4 linked regions of the Cricetulus griseus genome follow. Each later gene encodes a partner of the first gene's protein in a complex. Links are inferred from orthologs where the notes say so. Each region holds a gene or a part of one and is shown on either strand. Other genes may lie near its edges. The genes, in order: Timm10b, Timm10, Agk and Timm22.

The links.
Region 2: the proteins of Timm10b (region 1) and Timm10 are in contact, whole or in part, in a cryo-EM structure (PDB 7CGP), measured with the Homo sapiens proteins. The link is inferred for Cricetulus griseus from reciprocal best matches to the Homo sapiens genes TIMM10B and TIMM10. Residues at the interface, in NP_036324.1 of Homo sapiens: Gln7, Leu11, Leu14, Arg15, Phe17, Leu18, Leu19, Tyr21, Asn22, Arg23, Met24, Thr25, Glu26, Cys28, Phe29, Val33, Pro34, Ser35, Leu36, His37, His38, Arg39, Leu41, Glu46, Leu49, His50, Ala53, Gly54, Ile57, His61; in NP_036588.1 of Homo sapiens: Ala6, Leu9, Leu13, Glu16, Met17, Asp20, Met21, Arg24, Ala28, Lys32, Cys50, Asp52, Arg53, Cys54, Ser56, Lys57, Tyr58, Asp60, Ile61, His62, Glu63, Arg64, Met65, Gly66, Lys68, Leu69, Leu72, Asp76.
Region 3: Timm10b (region 1) and Agk share a complex: the UniProt entries of both Homo sapiens proteins name them as parts of the TIM22 complex. The link is inferred for Cricetulus griseus from reciprocal best matches to the Homo sapiens genes TIMM10B and AGK.
Region 4: Timm10b (region 1) and Timm22 share a complex: the UniProt entries of both Homo sapiens proteins name them as parts of the TIM22 complex. The link is inferred for Cricetulus griseus from reciprocal best matches to the Homo sapiens genes TIMM10B and TIMM22.

The regions. Positions count from the first base shown.
Region 1 is NC_048596.1:94,059,754-94,067,197, forward strand, and holds Timm10b (mitochondrial import inner membrane translocase subunit Tim10 B), read right to left. Parts: upstream 4,806-7,444; 5' UTR 4,700-4,805; coding exon 4,670-4,699; intron 4,523-4,669; coding exon 4,427-4,522; intron 4,264-4,426; coding exon 4,087-4,263; 3' UTR 4,063-4,086; intron 2,261-4,062; exon of another isoform or gene 2,029-2,260; 3' UTR 1,934-2,028; downstream 1-1,933. Other genes in the region: Arfip2 (arfaptin-2), read left to right, coding at 5,819-5,917, 6,137-6,233, 6,897-7,015, 7,188-7,409. UniProt on the Homo sapiens protein: Component of the TIM22 complex, a complex that mediates the import and insertion of multi-pass transmembrane proteins into the mitochondrial inner membrane.
Region 2 is NC_048599.1:90,701,674-90,709,036, forward strand, and holds Timm10 (mitochondrial import inner membrane translocase subunit Tim10), read right to left. Parts: upstream 3,919-7,363; 5' UTR 3,768-3,918; exon of another isoform or gene 3,672-3,767; intron 3,620-3,671; exon of another isoform or gene 3,506-3,619; intron 3,358-3,505; 5' UTR 3,319-3,357; coding exon 3,248-3,318; intron 712-3,247; coding exon 510-711; 3' UTR 280-509; downstream 1-279.
Region 3 is NW_023276806.1:187,840,511-187,847,992, forward strand, and holds the start of Agk (acylglycerol kinase, mitochondrial), read right to left. Parts: upstream 4,541-7,482; 5' UTR 4,419-4,540; intron 1,464-4,418; exon of another isoform or gene 1,399-1,463; intron 539-1,398; 5' UTR 533-538; coding exon 432-532; intron 1-431. UniProt on the Homo sapiens protein: Lipid kinase that can phosphorylate both monoacylglycerol and diacylglycerol to form lysophosphatidic acid (LPA) and phosphatidic acid (PA), respectively. Does not phosphorylate sphingosine. Phosphorylates ceramide.
Region 4 is NC_048600.1:89,853,281-89,860,775, reverse strand, and holds the start of Timm22 (mitochondrial import inner membrane translocase subunit Tim22), read right to left. Parts: upstream 4,173-7,495; 5' UTR 4,134-4,172; coding exon 3,896-4,133; intron 1,579-3,895; coding exon 1,382-1,578; intron 306-1,381; coding exon 233-305; intron 1-232. UniProt on the Homo sapiens protein: Essential core component of the TIM22 complex, a complex that mediates the import and insertion of multi-pass transmembrane proteins into the mitochondrial inner membrane. In the TIM22 complex, it constitutes the voltage-activated and signal-gated channel.

The sequences.
Region 1 (7,444 bases):
AGGTAATTGATCACCCAGGTGATCTTAGTAAGCACTCTTTCAATAGAATAGGGTCTACATAACTCAAAATGTGCTAGTTTGAGGAATGGGAATGGAGAATGACTTGCAATATGGACACAACTGTGTCTGAATTATAACTACAAAGTGGTTAAAAAAAAAAAAAAAGGATGGTAACCCAATGGAAACTATAAGGGTTTGTTTGAAGAGTGTAGTCCTTAGCACATTTAGAAACTGACAAGAATAAGCAAGAGGATGTTGGAAGCATTCAAGTAGGAAATGAGGAAGACTCAACACCCAAGAATGGGCACTAGCATTAGATAAGAGGGTTTCTCCCTATTTAGAAGGGAAAGGGAATGATGCAGATGGGCTAGTCAGCAGTAGAATACTAGAGATTACCTACAGCTTTGTTTTCCTCATGGAGGAATAATATGGCTGACAGAAAGAAAACAGGGCCAAGAGGGTTACAAACACCAACTTAAAATAGTTACTTAGGGGAGCAGAAAAAACCAGAGAATCACTGAATGTGGTGGTGCGTACCTTCAATTCCAGCACTTGAGAGGCAGAGGCAGGAAGATCTCAGAAGTTCTAGGCCAGTCAGGGCTACAGAGTGATAACCTGCTCAAACTGTAACACACACACACACTTGTGTGTGAGAGCTAAGATTCCATTTGAACTTAACTACGAATTCAAAGTGGCATAAATATGCTCTATGGTGATCTCGCTGAGTAACATTTAACTATTCAAATGCAGACAATGTTTCATAAGGGGGCAGGGCACAAAAATATCAGCTTATAGCAAGAAAACCATTGGGGGTTAAGCTGGCTAGAAATTTAAAGGCAAGTGTTACTGAGGGAAAAAAAATATTAAAGCTACAAAAAAATCTAATGATAGTAGGGACAGTGACTTACTAAACCAAGCAGAAGGAATATGGTTAGTCAATTCAAGAAATAGTGTTTTGTCACTTGATTTAGTAATAGTATTTTGAAGATTGAGTGGTTTAGAATGATGACAATATCTAAGACACAACTAAATGGATAGCTAAGACAGAATAGAAACCATTAGATATTGGATCAAGAAATTAAGTGATCCTAACTACTGAATGGACCGTGTAAACATCAAAGCATTAACTGGTGGATAGGAAGTACAAGAGCTATTTAGAGGGGAGGCAAAGAAGAGTTGATGCGAACAGTAAAACAGGTAGAGGACTTTATGGATGAACAGCTTTAAATCAATAGACTGGGCCAAGGAACAGGCAGTGAAGTTCTAAAGTCACAATGACAGGACCACCACCTCAGCCTCCAATGTTTGTGATGTGGTAAGGCTATGTCAAAGGTAACCTCTGGGCCGGGGATGTAGGTCAATGGTAGAGCCCTTTGTTAGTGTGTAGAAAACCCTGAATTTGACCTCTCACAATCCCCCCACCCCTCTACCCCCCCCAAAACAAACCAAAACCAAAAAAAATCCCAAACTTTTCTTGTATATTGTGCCTAAGAATACTGCTCTCACCATGCCAATGACTATCACTTTATGACAAGACCCGAAAAAGACCAGCAACTATAGAAAGTGAGACAGTAGGAATGGGTTTTCTCTTAAGGAGAGAAACCAGAGCAGAGACTAAAGGGAGAAAAGGACTGACAGGTCAGATTGAGGCACATTTGTTTTTGATCTGAAGGCAGACTGTGCAAAGATGATAGTGTATGTAGGTTGAGTGTGGGGAGCACACATGTGATCACATGTGTGCTCCCCACACTCAGGAAGTAAAAAGCCAGAAGGATTTGAATTCAAGGTGAGACTGCACAGTAAAACCATCTAAAAAAAAAAAAAAAAAAGTTCAGGTAGTTCCAAAGAGAGTGGGCTTTGAATAGATCTGTTTCTTAGTCTTTTCCCAGCAATTACTAACCATGTGACATGGGAAGAAAGGAAACACAGACAATTCACAGTACGTGTTTTATTGAAAGGATACATAAACTGATGCAGAAGAACTCTCCCAGCAGCAACACAATATCCTGGGTCTCCACCTTCCTGTCTCTGGAAATGAAGAAGCTCACATGATGCATTCCTTACATTTATACTTGTCAAAGAGTGAATTCTGTCAGGAAGACCTGAGGTCACTCTATAGGGAAGCTCCTTGTCAGCAATTTTTATCTTCCTAAAGAATTATCTAGCAACCGTTGTAGCCCATGTCTGTAATCTCAGTACCTGGGAGGCTGAGACAAGAGGATCTCAAGTTTAAGGCCAATAGACCCCATGGCAAAATCACCTAAAATAAAAAAACAAAAAGGGAAAAGCAGTGACACACTAGAATCTGTTTTCAAAGAACTGTGTATAAGACAGAGCTCTCATGCATTCTGGGTTCTTTTTTACCTGTTAAATGGAAATAATATCTCCTAGGCTTGCAATAAAATGAATAAATAAGATAAATTTATGCAACATACTCAACAGACATGATTTTGAGAGGCAGCCTGCTGTAGTAAAAAGAATATGGGGCTTACCGCCCCACTGCACTTTATTAATAGGGTCTTGATATGCTGCCTTCAAACACAAAATTCGCAATCTGTGAAGTGCTGGGCTTGTAGGCATGCATAACAAGGCTTAGAGCAAGAGCTGTGTTTTAACACGAAGCCCACTATTTCAATTTTTTGGCTGGCCAGCTCTTGGGCAGTAGAGGCAGGAGGATCAGGAGTTCAGGGTCATCTTTAGTTATTATGATTTACATGTCAGTTTTGAGACCTCCCTCCCCAATCTCAAAAATAAAAAAGTAAAATGCATATTTATGACCTGTAGGTGTGTGTGTGGGGGGGGGATCTGCTTTGTAAATAGTTGATTTTGGCTGGGATTTTAAAATTTAATTCCTTGGTAAAAAAGGAAAGCTGTTGCCATACGTGAAAGGATGGGATGGGATTAAGCAATGAAGAGGTAATGGGTAGCTTAGGTTGTTAAGAGTCCCTGCCTGGCATGCACAAGCCCTTGAGTTGAACCCCCAGTAAAACAACAATAACAAATGCACATCCCATACTGTTGCTTGCCCTGCATCCTGCCATTATCCTTGAAGCCCCACATGGTAGTATATGCCATTTCCTCCTTCCTTCCTTGTCCTCATACTGGAGATGACATCACGGAAAAGGCAGGGCCAGGAAAGGAGGTATCCTCCTGAATACAGATGTGAACCCCACAAAATGAGGGGGCAGTAACAAAACAAGAATAGAGAGGCTGGATCAGTTACGGTTGAGAACAATGTAAGATGGAAGGTAGAGAGCTGGAATTAGGAGATTCCAGACAAACAGTGAAACACTAAGGAAGCATTAGGAGCCACACAGATTATATTTAACCACCCCTCTATCACCATCTACCTTTCCCTTTGATTTCTCTTCTTTAGATTTGACTAATGTAGGCCTTCTGACTTGCCTTGAAGACAAGAAGAAAACCCTTCTTTGTTTAAAGTCCTTATTGCTGATTTCACAAAGACAGGAAATATTTAAGATGGTAAACTGGGGAAATGATTGAAATTCTAGACAATATTCCCACATTCTTACAGGCTTATCTTTGATCTCCTAAGAATTGGTGGCTAAAGCCTATTGTGGTGCTGTTTTCTTCTTCCTCTTGTTGTCTGATATCACATTCTTCCCCTAGATGCAGCACAATTCTTTTTGTATTACAGCTCAGAAGAAAACTAGTTATTATGCAATATATATTCAGGCATTTGAGTTAGGCTCAAGGATAGCCACTGAGAGCTCCCCTTTTGGAACCAATTTCCCATTGCTATTACTAACCTTAAAACTATGTTTTTGCTGGGGATCTGAGAATGCTGAGTTTGTCCTACTACATTACAGAAGGCAATTTCTCAACTGCCAGGGCTGAGGGGAGAAGATAGGCACTAAATGGCAGAATAAAGGTTGGTACCAATAAGTGGACATAAATAAATTCCTGCCCAGAAAATCAACCAGAGTAAAAACCCGGTTTATTGGCTCCAAGAAAAGGAGCAATAGTGCCCAGCTTTCAGGCTCAATCTTTCTGTACAAATTTCGACAAGCCCAAGGTTCATAGAGGAGCCCATCCAAGCACCTTCTCTCCTGGGGCAGGCGATGGCTAGCTGCCTGATGGCGAGTCTCTGGGTTGTTCTGCAGTAACACCTGGCACGGCCGAGGCAGCCTCGTAGTCCGCGATGCGGCGCTGGACAAGGGCGGGCATGAGGTGGACGTAAGCGGCCATGAGGCGGTGGTTAGAATGGATGAGCTTCCCAGCACAGCTGTGTAGACAGGCCTCCTGGAAGGAAGACAGAGGTAAGCAGAGACCAAAAGGGGTCCTGTCAAGCCCTCCTCTCCGGGGCCCCAGCCTAGGGGTGAGGTCATGGGAGACCGAGATGCAAACGGGGGGTGGGAGGTGGACACGTCACGTTGTCAACCTCTGGGGTCCCCACAGTCCCCACCTCCTCAGCGTCCAGAGCTCGGTGGTGCAGGCTGGGCACACAGCGCTGGAAGCACAGTTCTGTCATCCGATTGTAGACCAACAGGAAATCTCGCAACTAAGAGAAAAGCGGATCAAGGCTTCACCACCGCTGAGGGTTCCTGGCGTGCGCAGTGCAGCCTGCCTTCCCCACTGGGGGTTCTTGCATGTACCCCAGAAAACAAACCGCACGTCTAACCCCGAGAACAACTTAGCTCTTACTCACGTTTCTTAGTTGCTGCTGCTGCTGCTCCATCACGCTCGGGGCACGCAGCCCACTTTACTTCCTCCCTGGGGGCGCGGAGTCACCCCGGAAGTAAATTCTCCCTAGTCACCAAGAGCTTCAAGGCGTGGTTCCAGTATCGCCCAGCCCATGTCTGCTAACGTCACCTCCGCCCTTTTGCTCTGCGACGTGGCCGGCTTCTTCTGCCCAGAGGGCACGTCACTTCCGCCGAATCTCTGACCTGCTGCTAAGATCGCGACGGGAACTGGAACCCGAGGTCCCCGCGCGGTCCGGCCCTCGCGCCCTGAGGGGAAGAGTGGCCCGGCCCAGGTGAGAAGGACATACTTGTACGAAAGGAAGTTGAATGCACGAACCTGTGCGGAGGGCAAGATGCCCTGAGCCCTTGGCAAGGATGAGGACACACCTGATGCCCAGGTGTGTGGGGGGGTGGTGGAGGGGACCTCTCACATCTGGAAGGCATAAACTGACTTTGGAAGGGACTGCCTGTGTCCTGGGAAAGAAGCTTTTAACTGACACCGGGAACACACCAGCTGCTTCAACTAAGGCCTGGTGGGGAGGGCCTGAGGGAGGCAGGTGCATGAGATGGAGAAAGGAGAGACCATTTGAAGGAAGAGGGGAAGGAACATCAAAGGATTTGAAAGACCAGGGATTGCAGAGCATGCTTGAGTGGCAAGTGAGCATCCGAGTCTAGGAAAGGGTTTTGCCTTCTGGTAAACATGCCTATGCAGGGCCAAGTTCCCAAAGAGCACAGACATTCCCCTCTGGCCCTCACTGCTGTAATCCCATTGCCTCAGTATCTGACGCATAGTAGGCACTCACTAAGTGTTTGTTGAGTGACTGAATGTGTAAAGGTTACTAAAGGTGAGGTTGGGGTTTGTGAGAAGACACCCAAGGCTTTGGTATACATGCATCTGTAGAAATAATGTACTTGGAAGAGAAGAAATACACATCTCCAGGAAAGTAGGGGCTGATCTCCAGGGACACCCAAGTCCTAACAGACAACCCCTGAAACCTATTAGAACACAGGGAAGGCCTCCTTGTTCTGGAGTGCTGGCCAGTTTCCAGAATTGTCTGTGTTGGGCTTTACAGCGTGCTGGGGTGGAGACCTTGACTCCAGTACCTTCCCTAGCCATGACGGACGGGATCCTAGGGAAGGCAGCCACAATGGAGATCCCAATCCATGGAAATGGTGAAGCTGGGCAGCTTCCTGAAGACGATGGGCTGGAGCAGGTGCTTCTGTTTGATTCTTCTAATTGTTTCAATTTAGCAATCCTGACTCTTGAATGTTTCGCTTTTCCCATCCCAATAGACTTCATTTAGTTAGTCCTCCTTATAGTTTTCAAGTCGTCATTATGATTCTATACAGACTTTACTATATACTGTCTCTATCCCCAAAATATTTCAGCCACCCCCATGTTCCTGAAGTGCCCCCTCTTCTCTGATCTATAGGACCTCCAGCAGGTGATGGTGTCAGGACCCAACCTCAATGAAACTAGCATTGTGTCTGGTGGCTATGGGGGCTCTGGTGATGGACTCATCCCCACAGGTATGAATGATAAGAGACAGGAGGCTTGAGTGGGAGGGAGACTAGGAGGCACATAGAACACATAGGAAAGCGTGAATCATGGATTGGAGAAACTTGAGAACTGCTAGTGTGAAATCCATAGACTGTCCAATCCCAGATCAGCTCTCTGAGCTCATCATCTGCTTCCCACTTGCCATTTAGATTCTAGCTTTCTCAATTGTCTTTTCTTTCCCTGGTGCCACCACCTGAGCCAAGTTAAGACCTATAAGTCACAAGAGCTCTGCAGCTTAAGGCTGATTTACAACTTTGTGAAGCTTCTCAGAGTTTTATAAGAGTCTTATACTGACTAAAATTCTACTTGGAAATACAAACCAGCTTCCCTGTTTTCTGTGCCCACCAGCTTTGACCCTTCCAGTCCCACTCATCATGTTTGCTTCTGTTTCTTCCTTCCCTGTCCACCCAACAACACTCCTACACGACCCCAGGAATGCCAAATACATACATTGAGTTGCTTTGGTTTTCGGGACCTAAGTCCCCGTTCCCCCTAATGAGCAGAAGAATTCAGTTATCTAGATTTCCTCTTTTAGAGAGGTCATTTCATGTGCTGGGAGGGAAGGAAGTGAGGTCACAGAAGTATCTGATTGTATGTGAGAGAAATTGGTGTTAGAGAACTTGATCCTTTAGGGTCTGGCCGCCATCCATCTCACAGCACCTCACCTTCTGGCCCTGGTGATGAGGTGGCCCGGGGCATCGCCGGAGAGAAGTTTGACATCGTCAAGAAATGGGGCATCAACACATATAAGGTAAGAGTCGAGTGCCTCTTCCCAGAAACTCTCCATGGGTACCTTTTCCTTTTCCCCAGATCTTAATACATAGTCTTTTGCTATGACTAAGAGAATGGGGGTGTTGGAGTAGTTACTTGTCGGGGTTGGGGTGGAGTTTAGATTTCTGACCTCCCACCCACTTCCCAATCAGTGCACAAAGCAGCTGTTATCAGAGAGATTTGGCCGAGGCTCCCGGACTGTGGATCTGGAGCTAGAGCTGCAGATTGAGTTGCTGCGTGAGACGAAGCGCAAGTATGAAAGTGTCCTTCAGCTGGGCCGGGCACTGACAGCCCACCTCTACAGCCTGTTGCAGACCCAGCATGCACTAGGGGATGCCTTTGCTGACCTCAGCCAGAAGTCCCCAGAGCTTCAGGTGCCTCAGCCAAAACAAAGAGGGTGGGGGTACTG
Region 2 (7,363 bases), on another chromosome or scaffold:
CTAAATCATTTCAATACAGAATATGCATAGAAATAACTGCTTGTCTCCACTTAATATCAAATTTAAAAAAAAAAAATTAGTGCTTCCTACCGGAGTCACTCTACTAAAGCACAGAGATGCGTCACATTCAGGGTCACACAGCAAGCGGGACACCCAGAACAGAAACCTACTGATTTTACTAGTCTACAGTCCTAAAACAAACACAAAGACCCACCACATCAAAATCTGTCTACTGTTCAAGACTCTAGCTCAGTCATTACTATCAAATACAAAAGACACTGCTTTGCACAAATTTGTTTTAATACAGATATATACATATACACACATACACAGTCACAAACCAGCGTGACAAGTCCCCTTCTTTAGCCAGGAGAGCTCTACCACACCCAGGGGTCCTGGAGATGCTCCAGAGAGCCTAAGTATGACAGTTTTCACATATGATACCCACTAGGGAACACTTTAATAAGGTATGTGGCAAGGTGCACCCCAGGTGAATTCTGCGTGGGGCCTCATGCAGGTCCAGAGCTCTGCTGTACCCTCTTCATCAGCTCTTCATCCTGCATAGACAACTCTGTCAACTTTTTGCCCATCCTCTCATGGATATCCAAGTACTTAGATACACATCGGTCCAGGCACACAGATTCGCCTTTGGACAGCTCTGCTTCCTTGTAGTGGGGAGGCACACACTTCCGGTGGCAGGCACTGGTCATTCTGGGATTAGAGAGGGACAAGATTGTATCAGTAACTTCCTGTGACATCCCAGGACCCATCAACAACTCCAACCCTGCTCTACTGATCTGGCCTCACCGCCTCTCCCAAGAAAACAGTGGAAATCCTGTTTTCACTTCAACTACCTTGGAAGGTTCTTTAGATTAAGAACCTTGTTTAAGTCAGGCAGTGGTGGCGCATGCCTTTAATCCCAGCAGAGGCAGAGGCAAGCTGATCTCTGTGAGTTTGAGGCCAGCCTGGTCTACAAAGCGAGTTCTAGGACAGTCAGGGCTGTTACACAGAGAAACCCTGTCTCGAAAAAAAAAAACAAATATAATAATAATAATTGTAATTGGTGACCTCCAAGATAAATCAACCAACAAAAAGAGCTTCTGCTGACTAAAACCAGCAGGTGTCTCACTGTTTCCTGAATGATATGCTTGATGCTAAAGGCTTCCATGTTCAATATTAGTAATGTCTTCATGAAGTAGTGTTTATTATGTCAGTTTTATTGATGATACAATCAATTATGAGACAGTTTGTCCAAAGATATTCAGCAGGTGACTGGTGCACCAGGATTTGTTTCCAAACTGGCCAAACAGCTACAATCAATAGTTGTGAGATCAGTCTGAAGAATTGGTTCTGACATTGCTACTGACCAGTTATGAATGCTGACATTACTAAATCCTTTGATACCTCAATTCCCTGATGTTAAAATGGCACTAATAAAATTAACCCACTGATTTTAATTTATTTCCTTTTTTTTTTTTCAGACTCATGCCATCTATCCCAGGCTGGCCTCAAACTCACTATGTGGCCAAGGATGACCTTGAACTATTGATCCTCTGTCCTTCATCTCTGAGTGCTGAAAGTACAAGCACCACATCAGTATCAAGGCAAGGGCTTCTTGCATTCTAGCAAAGCACCCTGCCAAAAGTTAGGTCCTCTTCTCCCAGTGAGTATTTTTAATATTAAAAAATAATATGTGGGGCTGGAGAGATGGCTCAGAGGTTAAGAGTACCGACTGCTCTTCCAGAGGTCCTGAGTTCAATTCCCAGCAACTACATGGTGGCTCACAATCATCCCTTATGAGATCTGGTGCCCTCTTCTGGTGTGCAGATATACATGGAAGCAGAATGTTGTATACATAATAAATAAATAAATCTTTAAAAAAAACACATTAAAAAAATAAAAATAAAATGTGACAATGGGGGTACTAGACAGATGGCTTCCTGGTTAAGAGAACTTACTGGTCTTGCAGAAGACCTGGGTTTGGTTCCCAGAACCCACATGGTAACTCAAAAATTGTCTGTTACTCCAGTTCCAATGGATCTGATGCCCTCTTTGGCCTCTTCAGGCATGTGGTATACATACATACATACATACATACATACATACATGCAAGCAAAATATCCACACATATAAACTAAAAACAAAGAAACTTGAAAAAAACAATTTAAAAATGGTAATATATGTAAAATGTTTTGCTAGTGCCTAACACAAAGTTTAATGAAGGCCAGATGTGCACAACTTTAATCCTCAGGACCCAAGTGGGAGAGGCTGATGATCTTTGTGAATTCAAGGCCAGCCTGGTATACATAGCAGGTTCCAGGCTAGCCAGGATTACATCATGAGACCCTGTCTCAAAAAAATAAAATAAATAAAATAAATCAAACAAACAAAAGACAAAAGCTTAAAGAATATTAGAGGTTGCCAAGCCAGATCTTTAGAGTCCATTTCGGCCGGCAATGGTGGCGCATGCCTTTAATCCCAGCACTCGGGAGACAGAGGCAGGCAGATGTCTGCGAATTCGAGACCAGCCTGGTCTATCAATCGAGTTCCAGGACAGGCTCTAAAAAAATACTGAGAAACCCTGTCTCAAAAAAACAAAAACAAACAAAAAAGAGTCCAGTTCCTGAGACCCATACATTGGAAGGAAAGATGGGCTCCTATTAAGTTGTTCTCCGACCTACACTAGTGTGCTGCTGTGACAGACAGGGTGGCACTCATAAACAACCACAAAATACATAAACAAAAGTAATTAAATGGGCTGTTTTGGGGGTTTTTTTTTGTTTTTTGGGTTTTTTTTTTTTTTTTTTTTTGGTTTTTTCAAGACATGGTTTCTCTGTGGCTTTGGAGGATGTCCTGGAACTAGCTCTTGTAGACCAGGGCGGTCTCGAACTCAGAGATCCGCCTGCTTCTGCCTCCCGAGTGCTGAGATTAATGGCGTGCGCCACCAATGCCCGGCTTGTTTTTGTTTTTGTTTTTTAAATTAATACTACCTGTTCTTGAAACTCACCAGATACTAACAGGAGATTCTCCTTCATGCCCCTCTTACTCCCCCTAAATAGCCAAGTCCTTCTAGTGACTTGTATTTGGTTTAGCCTAGCACATGGTGAGCGTGGGGCAGAGGGTGAGGGCTGGGACTTGGCTCCACTCCCTAAAGGAAAGCATTCCTTACAAGTCCTTGACTCCGTCATGGTAAGGGTGACTCGGGCTAATCTTCCAACACTCGGTATCGTGGAGTGGTTCTCATTACCTGTTGTACATGTCAGCCATCATCTCCACCTCCAGCTCCGCAGCCAGCTGCTGGGCTCTAAGCGGATCCATGTCAACCTAGCACCGTGCAGAGCAGCCTCCTGGTCTTTCCTAGGAGCAGACAAGATCGTCAGCACCGACCCCTCCCTCTTCACCCTAACGTCCCGGGGCTGGAGGACAGCGTTTCTGACCAGCAGGGACCACCGCCCTCAGTAAACGTAATCAGCCCTCGTAACAGAAGTGGAAATAAGGCCTTTACAGGGGACAGTGCCCAGCTCAAGGTCACTCAGGATGTCACGGGCACGGGCCCGGAGACTGGACCGCTCGGTTCCTCCACGTCGCTCCCAGCCAGAGGATCGACGCCAGGGACACAACACTCGAAACCGTGGGCCTGGCCCGCGCGGCCCTGAGAACCCGACCCTCACCACAACCGAAGCTCCCGGAGCCGGCCCAAAGGCTGCGCCCGTCATGTCGATGCCATCATCGGGGTCACTCGGGGTCAGACACCGTGACTCACTCACCACGGCCTGGGGCAGGTCACAGATCCCTCGAGGTCCGCAACTTCGGGTCAATAGTAAAAAGTTGCCGGGTACCCAGCTGGAAGAAATAAGAAGCACGTGGGTCACATCCGGGATGGAAGTCCAACCTCTTCTTTGATCCGGAAGAAAACGCCTACCCGGCGGCGCTGGGAAATCCGCTACCATAGAGATGGGGCCACCGCCTGGCCGAAGCGAAAACGACTTCAGTTTGCTAGAGCGTCCTCCAAAGTGCCACAGAGGCCTGAGTGAGGGGCGGAGCGCCGGCAGCCCCGTTAGCTTTCTGTTCCTTGGGCTGTCCGGGAGATGTTTTGAGTGTTTGGGGTGTGGAAGGGGCTTGGCTTCCTGAACGCACTAAGGAGGGCCCACGTCCGAGCTCAGATAGTTCTTGTGTGAAGAAGGGGGAATCTTTCCCAAAGGAGCCTGTCAGTGTTGCATGTTAAAATCACTCGGAGCCCCAGCACTCGGGAGGCAGAGGCAGGCGGATCTCTGTGAGTTCCAGGCCAGCCTGGTCTACAGAGCTAGTTCCAGGACAGCCTCCAAAGCCACAGAGAAACCATGTCTCAACACCTCCCCCCCCAAAAAAAAGAAAACACAGTCTAATGAACATCAATATAGCTATCACCAGGATTTAACGTTTATTAAAATTTAGCCACATTTTCTTTATCTGTTGTCTTTAACGATGAAGTCTTTTCCCCCAATTTCTATTTTCACATCTTCAGCTAATAGTGATTTTTTCCCCCTGTCTTTTTTACACCTCTCATTGGGTATACTTTTTTAGATTTATTCGTAAAAGTATGTGCCATGGGCCCATGTAGAAGTCAAAGGACAACCTGTGGGAGCTGATTCTGTTCTTCCACTGAAGGGATCTGACCCTCACCCAGCCCCCTGCTTTGAGCTGCATGACAGGCTGCAGAAAAGAACCTGCAAGATGTAGCCTCTGACTCAGCACATGTTGCTTAGATTCCGGCCTTCTGACCATGCTGGAACTGCCCTAGTCACTAGGAGGTCAGATACCCTCCACGTGGCAAGGAACCAATCAGAAGTTAGCTGGAGGGCTCTAGGCTTTGTGGTGCTTTATAGTAAAAGAGGTATAACAGTGCCATGCAGAGCATAGCAACCACCCTGGGAGGGCCTATAGGCCATAACAACCAGTTGACCAACACAGGACAGGTTACCCAAGCCTGGAAGCCCATTGCTTAGTTCTAGACATTCCCCTTGCACACTTCCCCCCAACTTGGTTTCTCTGGGTCCTTCTTACTCCACCTGATGTGATGAACCCACAAAGGGCCAGAGTTAAGACAATTAACTTGTTAAACAATAAAAGACTCTTTGCTTTTGCATTGGAATGGGTCTCTTGGTGATTTGGGGCTTCAGAATTTGGGCACAACACCACCACATAGGTCCAGAGCCATCAAGCCCAAGTTGTCAAGTGCCATGGTAATCGTCCTTACCTTTAAGCCATCTTAACAGCCCAATTATTTCTTAATGTAATCTATGGCAGATTTTAAAAATTAGCTATCTTTCTATGTTGTATGTGGGGCAGTGCACACATCATACATGTGAAAGTCAGAGGATAACCTCAGGCTTCCATCTTTAACTTGCACCATGTTTGACAAAGGGGCTCTTGTGTTTGGGCTACTTATGCCAGGCTAGCTGGCTTGAAAGCTTCCAGGGGTTTGCCTATCTCTGCCTCCTATCTCACTGTAGGGGTCCTGGGCTTGGGGACCCATCCTGCATCTCTGCTGTTACATGGGTCCTGGGATCTTAACTTGGGGTGTTACTATTGCAGAGCAAGGTCTTTACCCACCTGAGCTATTTTCCCAGCCCTATTGCAAATATTTCTCCAACCCCTCAAAAGAGTATTTTTAATTGTAATTAGAACATTTTATAAGGATTCAGGCATTATGCTGGCCTGCCCCTGTCACCTGGCAGAATGCACTCAGGCAGTACCCTGGTCAGCCCAGGGTTCCGTGGTTCCGTAGTCTGCATGCAGGTGCAAAGGACCCCTTTAAAAGAAGACCCCTGCCCATGTATGTGTGCTCTCTCCCTCTCTCCCTTTCTCCCTCTCCCTCTCTCTCTCTCTCTGGGCAGACAGGACTTTTCCTGTCAACCTCTTCTCTTCTGTCCTCTCTCTGTGTCTCTTTCCCCCTTTTCTCGTCCCCCCTTTCATTTCTAATAAAACTTCTCACTAAGCTTTATCTGCCTGGCATGTTTGTCCCCCACCTCAGTCACCCTTACCAGCCATGGAATCCGCCAAGGTTCTCCGTGCACTTTATCATAACACATTTAACATAAGACACTTATTTGTCCAGTATAGTATTGCTATTTATATGCACTGCATTGCACAGAAGACCTCTAGAATATATTAATCAATCTATTCCAATCCTCACAGAAAGGTTCTGTATTTGTCACTCACTCTGGGACAGTACTACCTCTTTGGATGGGACTCCAGCCCCAAAGAAAGGAATGCAGGATCTCCTCATTGGGACCTGCCACTCATAAAAGACTCCGAGAGAGCAAAGATAGATATCTCCCTGGACTGTCCTGAGAGGAGCAGGAGGTGAGAGACTATCCCATTAACTTAAGTAGAAAGCCTACCCAGATTTCACCACTGTCTCCATTGTGGCTGTTCCCCATCACTTCTACTTGCCTCTATTGATGACTCTCTGGCCCAGACCATCACAAACTGTACTGAATCACCAAGGTAGTAAGTAGTCTCCTGGCTCTTCTCCCTACTCCTGCTGATATTTCAGTCTGACTGTTCTCAAAACAGCAGCTAACATGATATAAAAAACTAAAATTAGATCATGTCACTCACCTCCTAAATACTACAGTGGTTTCTAATCATAGAGCAAAAGCCGAAGTCTTCTCAATAGCTAAGATTCTGTATGACCTTTTTTCCTTGGTGTGATCTGTTACCTGAGAACAGCAGCCTAAAGGACGAAGGGTTTACCTTGGCTTTCAGTTCAGGAGATAAACTCAGGGAAGGCATTGTGGCAGGAATGGGAGGCAGCTATCTCTGACTATAGTCAAGTGTGACTGGAGGCAGTCACATCTCTGACTATAGTCAAGACACGCAGAGAGAAGAATGCTGTTACTCGGCTCATGTTATTCTTTTTATTCAGTCAGCTATCCCTGTCCAAGGGAAGCTGCTACAAATTTTGAGGGCGGGGCTTCCCACCTCAGTTAACCCAATATAGAATTAGCTCATGGACAAGCCCAGAGGTTTATTGCCTGGGAGGTTCTGGGTCCTATCAAGTAGATAACCAGCATGCATTAGTACCTATCCCACATGATTTGCCAACCCTAGCTTCTTCCTTTGTTTCCAGCTGTTCTCCTGCCCCAGTGCTTTGCCCAGCCATGCTAATATCCTCTCTCTTTACCAAACACATAAATCATACCCCCTTCTTCCTAGTTACTATTCTCTTTGCCAAGGGTGCTGGGCCCTCCCTGTCACAGGCTTCAGTCCCAAACTTACTTGAAGTCTTCATTCCTATATCACAAATACATTCTCCTCCCTACAAAACAAAGCCAAAACAAACACAAACCCTATCATTTACCCTGATTCACCTCATTTT
Region 3 (7,482 bases), on another chromosome or scaffold:
CTGGGGATGGAGAAAGCAGTAAGTACCCAGCAACCAGGGGATAACAGTATCTGTAGTAAGAAAAACTGGGCAATAATCCCAAGGAGATACATGAGTTAAACTATTTCAATTTACACCTTACTTGGGAGAGGACTTTACTCTGTCCAGAATGGGTCCTGATCTCTTCAATAACAAAGTGAATAGAAATTGCTTTCTTTCCAACCTCATTAACCACATGCATTAATGTGTGTGTTACACTGATAATTAACTATACAGTTTCATAGGGTTAATTCTATAGGACAGATTACAAGAAGCATTTGCCTTTGCTTTTTACTTGAATAACTTTGTTTAACCATGTTTAGTGGAGATGTACAGCTGGACAAACCTTGAACACAGGCCCTTTGGATCTTTCTGTGGTAGGGTGCGGATGGGGTAGGACTATCATTACTTACCAGTGCTTCCCATAGAGCCAGTGACCTCCCCACGTCAGCAAACAGAGCCCAGCTGTAGTTTTCTTCCAATGATTTCGGAGTGTTTTGAAGAACGCAGTCATCTTCTCCTACAGATTTAATAGGCAGGGAAAGAAAAGAGACTTACCCACGATAATCATGGAGCATGCTATTATTCATTCCTCTATGGTTTCCCCCAACCCACCCCCTTTTCCTTTTCTCTTTTTCTCTTTGCCACGTCTGCTGTGGTTCTTCTCGTCTTTTCCTGTCTAAGTCTCATTATCAGGTCTTCAATATGAAAATTAGCAAAGAACATGCATTAAAAAAACCCAATGCACATGGCTAAGTAAAAATGCTCACTAATCAAAGACATGCAAATTACAAAGAGCTATTATTATTTTTATATAAAATTAAATTTTATATTATCATAGTCACTGATAACAAAATACAAAAAGAAAGATATTCTTGCCTATTCCTGTAAGGAATATTTTTTATTTTTTTATTTTTTTCTTTTTTTTTTTTGGTTTATTGAAACACGGTTTCTCTGTGTAGCTTTGGAGCCTATCCTGGCTCTCGGTCTGTAGACCAGGCTCACAAGAGATCCACCTGCCTCTGCCTCTGCCTCCGGAGTACTGGGATTAAAGGCAATGGCCTTTAACCCCAGCTTGGTCTACAAGAGCTAGTTCCAGGACAGCCTCCAAAGCCACTGAGAAACCCTGTCTCAAAACTGCTCCCCCCACAAAAAAAAGAAAAGAAAAAAATCTCAAAATACAATGTAAGTAAAATTAGCAGGATAAAAGACATCTATAATCAGTGTTATACCAATTATGTTCAAATAGGACTATCAATCAAAATACCGATACACAAAAGCGAAAGTTTTACATAATTCCCTCTAAATTGTAGGCTGGTAAATGACATCTTAAAATTACAACATATATGCACATATATGCAATGTTAAGTTTTTACTTACATTATTATCTAAACAGATGAAAAAATTATTTCTTCCTTTAACTTCCCTTGGTTAAAATCCCTCCCCTAGGAAGAAACATCCACATTGCAGACATCAATGAAGAAGCCATTCAGACTAGTACAGAAGACCCAAAGGCCCATGGAATTATTGACTTCTCTCCATCTGGCCCTAGACACTCATTCACAAGGTCTTTGATAGACAGCACCTGCCCTGTGTTAAGAGCTAGGGCAGGGAAGAGGGAAGCCTCACTCTCAGATGCTCAGAATCAGTAAATCCCCAAGTGCAATATGACCACATGAGCCAGGTCGCAGGACAGTCAGATAAATGTTCAGGGGTAAAGACATGGGCCTAACTGGGCTGGACCTGAGGGACCCAGAGAACCCTACAGATTCAGAGGAGTCACAAAGGGAAGGAGTTAGGAATATGCCATGGCCTGAGCATTTGTGTTTCCAAACTTGTAAGTGGCAGTTCTAATTCCAACTGGACTGCTATTAGGATGTAGAAATAATGGGGCTATAAGGGTGTTGTCCCCATGAACAGGATTAGCAACTCTCTAAGAAGAAGACACCAAATCTGGTGTTGGTGGCCCATGCCTTTAATCCCAGCACTCTTGAGGCAGAGGCAGGCAGATCTCTGTGAGTTCGAGGCCAGCCTGGTCTACAAGAGCAAGTGCCAGGATAGGCTCCAAAGCTACACAGAGAAACCCTGTCTCAAAACAACGAGGAAAAAAAAAAAAAAAAAAACACCTTCAGAAATAAAATCCAGTGTATGTTAAATTTGATGAAGAGTGGAAAGTTGTACAGAAACATGACTGAACAAGGTGCTGTGACTTAAAGACAATAATCACCAAGGTCTTATTTGTTCAGGTCCTTCAGTATCCCCTCACCTTAAGAAATAAAAGTGCTCATTTCCTGCATGCATAAGACAGGCACTTCTAACATGAGGGCCTTATACCGGAAGCCCGATTCAGGTTAGAACATCAACAGTTTCCTGCTTCTACTGTTTCCTCAACTGCCAATGTACTTCTATGGGGATTAACATGCCCTAAGCACCATCAAGAGAGCATAAATACAGGATAGCTTCTAGAACACTGGCTCTCAACCTTTAGGGTCCTTATTAGACCTTATTCGAATGCACAAAATTTGCTGGAAATATATATGCTTGGCTATTACCTCTCCAAAGCCCCCTGTGTTTTTAGTTAACAGTTACTTCCATAATTGTACGTGATAAACATAGCAGACTTTGAGAAATAGTAATTTAAAGATAAAAGATGGGGGTAACAGGAAGATTTGAAAATACTTTGAGTTGCTGGGTGTTGGTGGTACACGCCTTTAATCCCAGCACTTGGGAGGCAGAGACAGGCGGATCTCTGTGAGTTCGAGGCCAGCTTGATCTACAGAGCAAATGCCAGGATAGCCTCCAAAGCTATACAGAGAACCCCGTCTTGAAAAAACAGAAAGAAAGAAAGAAAGAAAGAAAGAAAGAAAGAAAGAAAGAAAGGAAGGAAGGAAGGAAGGAAGGAAGGAAGGAAGGAAGGAAGAATACTTGGAGTCCAAACCAAGGGCTTTGGATATTATGAAGACAATGAAAAGAGAGAGAGAACTTGAGATTTTTTTTTTAGCAGACAAATGACATAATCATATTTGAGCTGCAGAATATAAAACACACTGCTAGAACCTGAAAGTAACTCTGAAGAGAACCATGGTGGCAGGGAAGGGGGGTGGGTGCCACAATTTCTAGGCTACTAAAAGGAGGAACAAGAGTCAACAAAGGATTTGGAGGTCTTGGTCTGGCAGTGCTTGGTGACCAGCTGATTCCAAGGGGTAAGAGATGAGGAGACAAGCCAGGTTTTGTGCTTGGGCAACGTGATTTCACGCCTTTGATTGATATTGCAGGTTTGTGGGAAAACAGAGTGCAGCTAAAGAGACTCTAGCCTGTTACACCCGCCAGGCACACTCAAGTGGAGGCCAAACAGGTGTCTGGACTTGGCTGTTTGGAAATAGGAGAAATTGAAGACAAGTTACAGAATTGCGGCTCATACCTGTGAAGGTAAAGTGTGAGAGCTGCTAAAACTACCCAAGTAGAGGAGACCGGGAAGAACACTTGTTAAGTCAAGGGCACTCTGAGTGGACTGTCTTTTAAAAAGCCTCCCTTACCCCATGAAACTCCCTTTTTTTTTGTCATAAATGATTCATATATAATTAAAAGACGAGGGAAATGCACAAACACCCTGGTGTGCAAGGTGCCTGAACTAAATCCTAGCTTCTGTCCCTTACAGGTAAGTGAGACCCTGGGTAAGTCGATTAACTTCACTAGTAAAACGAGGAAACACCATCTGCCCCAAATACTTAATCTGGCTGTGAAGATCAGCTATGACGGGGTTGTGAATAAAATCCGTAATTTTTTCCGTATTTAAGCTATCTTCACGAATACGTACTACACGAACAGTTATCTATTTCCTACCCAGTGGCCAGAATTTTCATTCTCATGAGCGTCAGTTTAAAAAATGTCTCCATTTTACGTTTAAATAGCACAGCTCTGCCTGTAAAGCAGGTGGTCCCCAGCCCCATAAGCTCCCAGATTCTAACTGCAGCCTCCCTCCTGCCAAGGAAGGTGAGGCTCTGCCCACTAAAGCAGAGCTCCCTGGGGCAGCTTCTAGCCATCTCCATTAGCAGAGCCCAGTGAGTGAGTGAGTGAGTGAATGAATGAATGAATGAGCGAGCCGACCCGCCCATCAAGTACCATGGATTGTATTGCTGTTCCGGGGTACCCCACCGTCCAGGTGGGTGGGGGGCGCCTGACTGGGATGGGGGGGCAGGGATGAGGCTCAGCTCTGGGACTCGAACTAGCACACCTGGCTCGCAGGGACCCCGCCCGGGCCCCCCTCCCGCCCACGCCGCAGCCAGCAACGGTACGGCCGACCCCCGGGCGCCAGGCCGGTTCCCGGGACACCCTGCTCGGCTACGCCCCACGCCCGGGCCCCACACGCCCAGCGGCCCGCGCTCGCTCCCCGAACTCACCGCTGCCCGCCGCCCCGCGCCCGGCCTTCCTGTGTGCTCTCTCGAAACCCTTCCCCGCTGGAGGGAAACCGCTACTGCCGCCCTCGGGTTCCGACGCGGGGCGGGCGGGGCCGGGCGGAGCCCTGCAGGGACCTGGGAGCAGCCGCCGCTCTCCCTTCTCTTACCTCCCCTGTCTCTCACTTAGGGGGTCATTCCATCCATCCATCCATCTATCCATCCTTCCTTCCTTCCTTCTGCCTGTTGCCAGCCCATCGTTTCCGCAAAGCTCACCATAAATAACACACACAATTTTTTAGCATTTGGGACTAAGTCAGAAAGTAATCACGGGAACCAGACAGGTTCAGACGGTGGTAATAAAACCAGTTGATAGGGAGTGTGATAGGAAGTGTGGCCAGGGAGGGGACTGTGTTAAATGAAAAAACGAAAGTCTGAGCTCCCCAAGATCAGGAAGAAGAGGATCTATCTGGTCAGGATGTACAAAAGAGAGAGCAGGGCAGAGAGGAATCAAGCTCAGAATCAGAGGAGCACTAGACCCGAGAGAGAGAGAGAGAGAGAGAGAGAGAGAGAGAGAGAGAGAGAGAGAGAGAGAGAGGGAGGGAGGGAGGAGGAGGGAGGGAGGGAGGGAGGGGGAGGGAGGGAGAGGGAGAGAGAGGAGAGAGACACACAGAGAGACAGAGAGAGAGAAACAGGGAGAGCAAAGAAGGAGCACTAGGCCAGTGTGAGATCTGAGAGAAAGAGAGACAGAGACACAGAGACAGAGAGAGACAGAGACACAGAGAGAGAGAGCCAGGGAGAGCAACGAAGCAGGAGAGGTGTGGAACACAAAAAAAAATGTGTCTCCTCAAAATATAAAGACTACTGAGCTGAAGAGAAGGGGCACATAGATGCAGGGCAGCTTTCCTGCGTTCCCTCTGTTTGCCTTAGACCAAGGCATTTGTAAAGAATTTGTATCTGCATGGCCATGGCTGTCTGGCAATGAGAACAGTTGTGATTTACTCACCCAAGATCATCACCAGATCCGACCCATTGGCATGTGATCCCCAGTGGCCTGCCTCTTCCACAGCCTATACAAGCACGTTAAGGTTGCTCGGGCCAGAGGGTCTGAGGAGTGTTGAGGGGACAGCAACTTCAGTGGTGTTGCCTCCTGTGTGTTGCCCGTGTTCCTGCAGGCCACCCCTCACCCATGCTGCTCTAAGTAACTGCAATCAATTTCATCGTTCACAAATCTAGACTTCAGTGGAATCATTTCTTTTGAGTCTGTCCTTGTCACCCCATCTGGAGAGAATCATTTGCTGCTGTCTCCCTAGGGAAAGTCAACAGGAAGTGAATTTATTCTGAGCCAAATATGAATGGCCATAGTTTTGGGAGACAGATTCAAGTTGCCCTGAATGGCATGTTCCACCATGGAAGAGGTTAGTTGAACATTTATAATCACAGAATAAAATAAAGTCATAATTTAGGATGTCTGATGGGGGAAGTGCTTCTGTGTATGCGTTTGTCTTATTGGATGATAAATAAAGTACTGTTTGGCCAATGAGGCAACAAGTTAGGCGGGATTAGGAGTCAAGGAGGATTCTGGGAAGTGGTGATCCAGGCAGGAAGTGACATAGCAGAGAGACTCATATATAAGTAAGGGCAAGAAGGAAGTCGTTCCCTTCTCTCTTCCTCCTTCTCTCTGCTCTGAGCCACCATGTGGTCCTGGGATGAGGACACCAGTGGAAGGCGTCTTACATAAAATAAGTCTTATAAAATATATATTTATGATAATTAAGACTGAGCTAGCAGATGAGAATCCTAGTCATTGGCCAAGGAGCATTTGTACCTAATATAAGTCTCTCTGTGTTACTTGGGACCTTAATGTGGGCTTGGTGCGTGCTCTTCCTTCCCTGTGTTCTTTGATCAGTATCAAATCACTAAAAGAAGTTCTCAAAGAGCAGGAAAATTATTCCTTGGAAGCTGCTGGAAGTGGTGATGGGTTTTAAGAACATCATGCTAGGTGAAATAAGCCAGTCCAAGACTGCATGTTATATGACTGTGCACACACGACACATCCAGAACTAGAAAACACGTAGGGATGGAAAAGGATTTGATGGTGGGGTGGGGCATTGAGAAGTGACTGTTTTCAATATGGATATAGAGGAAAATGGTCTCAATATGGACGTGGTGCTGGCTACACAGCTCTGTGGCTATATTAACACTAGCGAATCACAAACTTTAAACGGGTGAAATGCAAAAAAAGAAAAGGAAAGAAGAGCAGAGAAAGGAAAACAGATGGTTCTGGGGCTGGAGAGATGTCTCAGTGGTTAAGCACACCCAGACTTGTTTCCCCAGCACTGATACAGTGGTTCACAGCCACCTGTAACTGCTGCTCCAAGGATCTGACATTCTCTTTTGGCCTCTATGGGCACTAGTCACACACACAGTGCACATATGTGCAAGCAGGCGAACAATCATACACACAAAATAAAAAAGAATCTTAAAAAAGACGGTCCCACATTTTGCTCCACAAATCATAAATATCTATACAATGTCAGAAACTGATGCCATCATCACTCATCCACGAAGGGAGCCGGCCTGAGCCAGAGCCACTTCACAGAGGATCAGAGAAGAAAGAACCAGGATCCTCAATGATGTCATGGAACCAAGTGGCCAGTCTGTGAGGGGATTGTGCCAAAATTCTATACACCCTAGTATGCAAAATAATGAATTCTATTTAGATTGAAGGCAGGATCCATGAGCACCAATCGACAGCTTATAAACCACAGGCTGTTGGTGGCCAGAGTGAGGACAAGTAGAGGCTTTAAGGTAAGAAATAAGTGAAAAATCAGTGGCAGAAATAGCTGTCAGACACCAGAGTTCTGCTTAACCTTCTACTGTTCTTGACTCACTCTCCAGTCATTTTGATTGTTCCCGGACCTGGGCTGTGCTCATTTCCATAGATGCTTTATCAGTGATGGGGAAGAGTTCCAGGAAAAAGGTGTTGGGATGCGTGTGTGCCTGTTGGTAGACTTTCCTGTATCTCTTTGGATGAATGCTGTAGTGGGAGCAGATGCTCCCCAGTGTC
Region 4 (7,495 bases), on another chromosome or scaffold:
CAGAATAAGATTTTAACTGGTCCAAAATCTCTATAGAGTGCCAAGGATGAAAAAGCCTAACACAGACGGATATAAGCAAGTTTCCAGAACCGCATCAACACAGAAGCAGCCAGGATTTATTTGTCAGAGGGAAGAATATCAAGCATCCTTAGAACACTCATGTTGGGAAATGTCAACATCAGCACGTTGTCCTGGACCACAAAAGAAAAGCACTCGAGAGCTGTTTACTAACCTCTGAAACCAATGGCTCCTCCAGTGATGCAGCCGCTGATGACACTGTTCTTCCAGTCTGACTTTCCCCGGTACTGTGGGTGGAAAAATGCTGTTTAGAGCCAGGGAAACGAGCCAACAAGACTAGGGAAGAAAACACAGGGCTTCCAGCTGCCTAGTTTAGTTCTATTCAAGAGGAGAAAAAAACCTTACTTCAAAAGGGCAGTCCCGAAAATTTGTATGTGCTTATACGTGTTTCCTGCAGGTGGCACCAGAGGGCTGAAGTCAAGTCTAGCATTTGGGAAATAATCCAAATTTCTTATGTGCTCCAGTATAATTTTAAATCATTAACTACAATTACTTGGGTTGGAGATGTGGCCCAGTGGTAGAGCACATCCTCTATGCATAAAGCCTCAAGTTCAATCCCAGCACCAAATAAGAAAAAAAATCATTTTGCCTATAGAAGATTAAAAAAAAAAGCAAATCCCGTATTATAAATATGTACAAAGTTCACACTAGGGACTAATCTAGACCAAAATGTGATATTTTTAAATGTCTGCTTTGAGGCAAAGTTCTATGTAGCCCAGGTTGGCCCAGATCTCATGCTCCTCTTCTTCAGCTCCTTTGGGCTGAAGTTGTGAACACAGATCACATTTGACTAAGGCCTGACATTTCTAGTCTGCATTCCAGGAAGAACACTAAGAACACTGCTCTTTTCAAAGTTGTATAATGGAGGCTGATGGCTCAGTGGTTAAGAGCACTGGCTGCTCTTCCAGAAAGACTCTGGCTCAGTTCTCAGGACCCAAATGGCAGCTAACAACTGCCTGTAAATCCAGTCCCAAGGGATTAAATACCTTCTTCTGGTCTCCTCAAGCACCAGGCACTCACATGGTGCACATACATACATGCAGGCAAAATGCTCAGACACACAAATTTTGTGTGTGTGTGTGTGTGTGTGTGTGTGTGTGTTGTTTTGTTTTTTCTTTTTTCAAGACAGGGTTTCTCTGTGTAACAGCCCTAGCTGTCCTGGAACTAGCTCTGTAAACCAGGCTAGCCTTGAACTCAGACATCTGACATCCACCTGCCCCTGCCTCCCAAGTGCTGGGATTAAAGGTGTGTGCCACCATGGCTAGGCTCAGACAGGGATTTCTTAAAAGCAAGAGACACTTACAGATTCTACTAAACACTCAGTACACGAAAACATTGCGCCCACAATGGCAAAATTTTTGGCGTAGGACATTCCTCTTTGTCCCATGTCTTTCAGAACTTCTTTTGCAGTTGGTGTCCGGTAAGGGTCCTTAGGGTCAAAGCCTACATTGGTATCAATGCCGGCAGTAAAGATCCCAAACGCACCTCCCAAGACAAATCCTAGAAGCAAGCAGAGATAAGAGTTCTTTTGCACATTCTGGACTACCATTTTGGGATGATATTTTAAGATGGCTCAATCCTGCTTCCTCCAGTCAGAGTCTATCCCCCTGACTCTCCTAGGATTTCTTCCTTTCATTTCCCAGCCTTTGAGCTTTAACCCTCTGTTCTCTATAGACCAGTCACCCTCAAGTTCTTATCAACTTTGTGTATCATTCCCTTAACCATGCCAATATCTATAACAGTCTCTTGGTAGGCATTACCACATATTCTGAAATACTCTAGATTTCACAATAACTTGTGGCTGTTTTGTTTGTTTGACAGGACCTCACTATGGAGTCCTAACTGGCCTGGAACTTGCTATTGTAGAACAGGCTAGCTCAAACTCAAGAGATCCACCTGCCTCTACCTCCCAAGTTCTTGGATTAACAGCGTGTGTCACTACCACCCAGCTGTCCTCTCTAAACCAAAGCTAGAGAGGCTAAGTAACTGTGTCCAAAGTCGCATGGCTGTTATGTGGGAAATCCTAGGTTGCTGTCAACAAATGTCTTGTCTAAACCTTGAACATTTCTTTGTGTGGGTGTGGGTGTAGGCCAGAGTTCAATCCTGGGGTGTCACTACTCAGGAACCATCCACCTTTCTTTCTTTCTTTCTTTCTTTCTTTCTTTCTTTCTTTCTTTCTTTCTTTCTTTCGTTGTTTTCAAGACAGGGTTTCTCAGTGTAATAGCCCTAGCAGTCCCAGAACTTACTCTGTAGACCAGGCTGGCCTCAAACTCAGAGAGATCTACCTGCCTGTCTTTGGAGTGCTGGGGTTAAAATCAGGTGCCACTACCCCTGGCCACTTTTTTCTTTTTTAAAGAGGGTCTCTCAATGGACCTAGAGCTAACTGATTAGGCTAGGCTGGCTAGTAACTGAGCCCCAAGGATCTGTCTGCCTGTCTTCCCAGTAATGGGATTACAAGTCATTTTCAGGCCTGACATTTATCTATTTATCTATCTATCTGTCTGTCTGTCTGTCTATCTTTCTGAGACACAGCCTATATAGTCTGTCTGTGTAGGTGTCCTGGAGCTTGCTATGTAGACCAGGCTGGCCTCAAACTCAGATCCATCTGCCTCTCTAGTGCTGGGATTAGAGGCCTGGGCCACCTCACCCAGCCATACCTGGCTTTTTACAGGATGCTGGGTATTGAACTCAGATCCTCAAGCTTGCATGACAAGCACTTTATCAACTGCACTTTGTCCCCAGCCATTTCTGTATGGATGTCTTCTCATCACCTCAAGATGAATGTAATTTCAAAAAATAAAAAAAAATCAATGTAATTAATTTCAATGAAACTAGACTCTATCTCCCCTCTCCAAAATGTCTTGCTTTCCAATCACTCCAGCTCCAAAACTCTCTCTTCTTTGTAGTACATTTAAGGTTTGCTTTTTGTTTGGTCAGTTTTTTGTTTTGTTTTTGAAGACAGTGTCTCTATTATGTAACCCTGGCTGTCCTGGAATTCACTATATAGACCAGGTTGGCCTGGAACTCAGATCTGACTGCCTCTTCATCCTCAATTTTTAAGACTTGAACTCCTGCTATTTGGATTTCACAAATGTTTTTCATTCCCAATAAAATTTAAACTCATCCACAAATACAGTCAACCTTTTTACCTGCACACTGGAAGTGTGTGTATTTGTTTGTTTTTATGTTCTATCCTACCCCACCCCGACAGTCTAATTACAGTGGCCTTTTTTTTTTTTTTTTTTTTTTTTCCCCTTAGATAGGGTCTCTCTATGTAGAACTGGCTGTACTGGAACTCACTCTGTAGACCAGACTGGCCTCGAACTCACAGGGATCCATCTGCCTCTGCCTCCCGAGTGCTGGAATTAACTTCAAATTTCTCTGACTTGAGGACCTTTGCATTTGCAATTCCCTATGTGTCTACAGCACTCTTCTGCCCGGGTCCTAGAAATTCTCTATCAGGGCTCTTGTCACTTTCATCCATAGTCCCACTGCCTAACACACGACAGTTGCTTAGTTTGTGAATGAATGAATGAATGAATGAATGAATGAATGAATGAATGAATGAACGAAAGCATCCACTTAACAATCTGCAGGCCCTGACCGTAGTTTAACTGATTCTCGAACGTTCCAGCTCCCAACTGTGAATGTTAACCCCAGGATCAAGAGCGGCATCTTCGGGTTCATTGAGCCAGTCGGGGAGCAATCAAGGTCGAGACCCACAGGTCCTTCGCCTCCCAGGCGCGTGGTCTTGGCAAGGAACCCCAAGGCCCTCCAAGCCCTCAGCCTCCCAAGGGTCCCACGAGCCTCGCCTCACCTCCCACGCAGGCTAGCACAGCCTTGAAGGCGCAACTTTCCATCGCCCTCTCGATCATCTTCTGCTCCTCGCTCTTGGAGGGACTCGGGATCCCGCCCAGGCTGCCAGGCTCCAGGAGCCGGGGCTGACGCTTGTCGCCCACCAGGTACTGCAGAAGAAGGCTGTATTGCAGCGGAGCTTCGGCGGAAGTCGCCGACTCCGCAGCTGAAGCCCCGGCACTGGGGGCAGTAGCCGCCATGACCGTAAGGGACCCAGAACCTTAAGCGTCGTACTTGCCACAGCCGATTCCACATGCTTCCCTAGGTGTCTAGCCATAGTGCCGCAGCGGCAGATTCGCCACAATGAGGAAGCGGCGGAAGCAAAAGTCGGCCTGTGCATCAGCGTCAAGGCAGCTATAATGTTCCCCCCAAAGCCTCCTGTAAACACCGAGTCAAGTTTGTAAGGCATTGCTAAAAGCACTGACAAACAAGATTCGGGGTCTCCAGAACACCCCCCTCAACGAGGTAGCTCCAGTGCGGCGCGTGCCGGGATTTGTAGTTCTAACTCAAACATCTAACTACATTTCCCAGAAAGCTATGCGCGAACTAACCCTACGGCTTCCTCAGAAGCTCTTCTGAGAAGCGAACCAAGGCAGGCCCGGCTCTGGCTAGGCTGCAGTTTGTGACGTATCCAGCAGAAGGCGTGCGTGTCCGCTTTGTTGCCCCGCCAAGTGACAGTGATCATGCTGCCTCAGTCAGCTAGGACTACAGGCTGGTTGGTATTCTAAGATCAAATAATGGTAATAAGCAAATGTTGAAACATGGCGTGAAGATGTTCAATAGACATTTTATTATATAGTTAAACCTTTGAGGAGAAAGAAGGGCCAATAAATGAGCTGGGTGGTGGTGGCTCATGTAATTTCAGCAGAGGCAGGTAGATCTCTGAGTTCGAGGCCAGCCTGGTCTGCAGCGTGAGTTCCAGGACACCCAGAGCTACACAGAGAAACTCCGTCTTGAAAAAACAAAATATATAAATATATAAATAAATATTGGGAATTGTGGTAGTTGTGATTCTGAGTCAGACCAGGCTGGCAATTTATTTGTCTCTCTTAGCTAAGCGAAACACTCATGAAAAGAAAAATCATTACAGATGCACGTTTGGTGTCTAAAATCCTCTTTGTTCTTGTTTCTGCCCTCACCAGGCCACCAAGCACGCTAAGTTTCCAGTGGTTGGTTGGTTGGTTTGGTTTGGTTTGGTTTTTCAAGTCAGGGTTTCTCTGAGAAACAGTCCTGGCTGTCCCGAAACTCCTTTTGTAGACCAAACTGGCCTTGAACTCACAGATTCCCCACCACCACATGGCTCTCCAGTGGTTTCTTAGCTGTCAATCATTTTTTCTAAACTTCTCAGCTGCATGTGACACAGGGACCCCTCTCTCCTTTGATTTTTTTTTTTAAATTATTTATTTATTATGTATACAGTCTTCTGCCTGCATGCCAGCAGAGGGCACCAGATCTCATTCAAGGTGGTTGTGAGCCACCATGTGGTTGCCGGGAATTCAACTCAGGACCTCTGGTGGAATAGTCTGTGCTCTTAACCGCTGAGCCATCTCTCCAGCCCTCCTTTGATGTTTTATCAGTACTTTTTTTTTTTTTTTTTTGAAAGATTACAGTGTGTGTGTGTGTGTGCTGTGTGTGTGTGTGTGTGTGTGTGTGTGTGTGTGTGTGTGTGTGTGTTTGTGTGTGTGTATAGGTGCCCATGGAGGCTAGAAAAGAGCATCAGATCACCTGGAGCTGGAATTTGGGTGGGTTTGAGCCAGTGGTTGTAAGGCATCGGATTCGTGCTGGGAAGTGAATTTGGTGGAGGAACGGCAAGTCCTCTTACCTGCTGTGCAGTCTCTCCAGCCTGATTTCTTCCCTCCGATTGTGCTTTCTCTCCCACTTTTGCCGCAGCCTCCCCAGTTACACTTCTTTGTAATCAACTTTGAGGCTCTGCTATTGTTCTTCCTGGTTCCATCCATCCTCTGTTGATTAATATTTAGTCACTTCTAAACAAAGGTGACCCAGGACTCCAGTTCAGGCTAAGATTTTAAGAGTCAGAGTTGGAGCTGGGTGGCAAGGGCGCACACCTTTAATCCCAGCACTCGGGAGGCAGAGGCAAGTGAATCTCTGTGAGTTCAAGGCCAGCCTGATCTACAGAGCAAGTTCCAGGACAACCAGGACTGTTACACAGAGAAACCATGTCTTGAAAAACAGACAAAAAGAAAGGAAGAGAGAGAGAGAGAGAGAGAGAGAGAGAGAGAGAGAGAGAGAGAGAGAGAGAGAGAGGAAGGAAGGAAGGAAGGAAGGAAGGAAGAAAGGAAGAAAGGAAGAAAGGAAGAAAGAGAAAGAAAAGAGTCAAAGTTGGATCCAGGAGAAGTTGAGGCAGTCTCCCAGGCCTTGAGAAGCAGAGAATGTTCTAAAGAGCTAATCAGGAGTAGAGTTCTTACCTATCATGCCTGGGCCATGGGTTCAGTCTCCAGAACTAAAACATAAATAAAATAAAATGCCAATCCAGCAATCCATTTAAAGCCCAACAGTAAAATCCCGAAGGAAGGGTCAGGGAGAACCCAAGCCACCAGGAGCCATCAGATGGAGAAACTCCCTATGGACCAAGCTCAGAAGGGAGTAAGTCTTTTGTAGAACTACCCTTAGCCAAGATCATAGATGGGGAGCCGTTAGACTGATCTGCTATCTCCTTCTCCCATCACTATCCAACGGTGGAATAGGTTTCATCTGATGGAAAACTTGAGCCTCTGCCAAGTATACCCCAAATGGGAGAAATTATTTCCTATATTTACTTACCTATGGGACATCTGGGGACTTCATCCGACTGTAACCTGGTTGTGATCCCAGCAACTGTCAGGTTCTTCCCCCTCTCCTCACATTGTCTGTTCTGGCCACAAGAGCTAGGCTCTTATCACCATGGGTCAGAGTGAACCAGTGAAAGTTAGAGATGACTTAGATTTACAGGGAAGGTTGTAACACTGAGCTGATGACAACTCTTCTGTCAGAAGACTCAAGATAGCAGCTCAGGGGTCATGTGCTGAATTAGAAGAAAGCCTAATTATGGCTTCCCCGGTATCTGTAAGACCCTAGCTGGTCTGTAGCTCTCTTGGGTGCTGTCTGCTGCTGGAGCTGAGGAAGAAAAGAAACAGCTCAAGTTAGGATGGAATGAGAAAGTCTAAGCTGGACTAGCAGTGGTGGTGCACGCTATTAATCCCAGCACTCAGGAGGCAGAAGCAGGTGGATCTGTGAGTTTGAGGACAGCCTGGTCTACAGATAGAGTTCATGCTTTAAAAGGGGAAGGTGAGGGAGAGAGAGAAAGTCCAAGCTGAGCGCAGAGTTTTGCATATGGGTGTGAGTTGCATATGGCTATAGTAGCCATGGAAAGTTTCAAAGTCCTCTGGCAGGTAGAAGGTATGTGCCAGCAGATGCTGCTTAGCTCACTGATTTGTTGTAGATAAGCAGAACTGGACAAGTGACTTTATTTTTAGATTTTATTTAATTAAAATGTATGCCTATATGTGTTTATCTGAACGTACATCTGTGCACCAAGTGCATGCAGTACCTCGGAGGCCAGAAG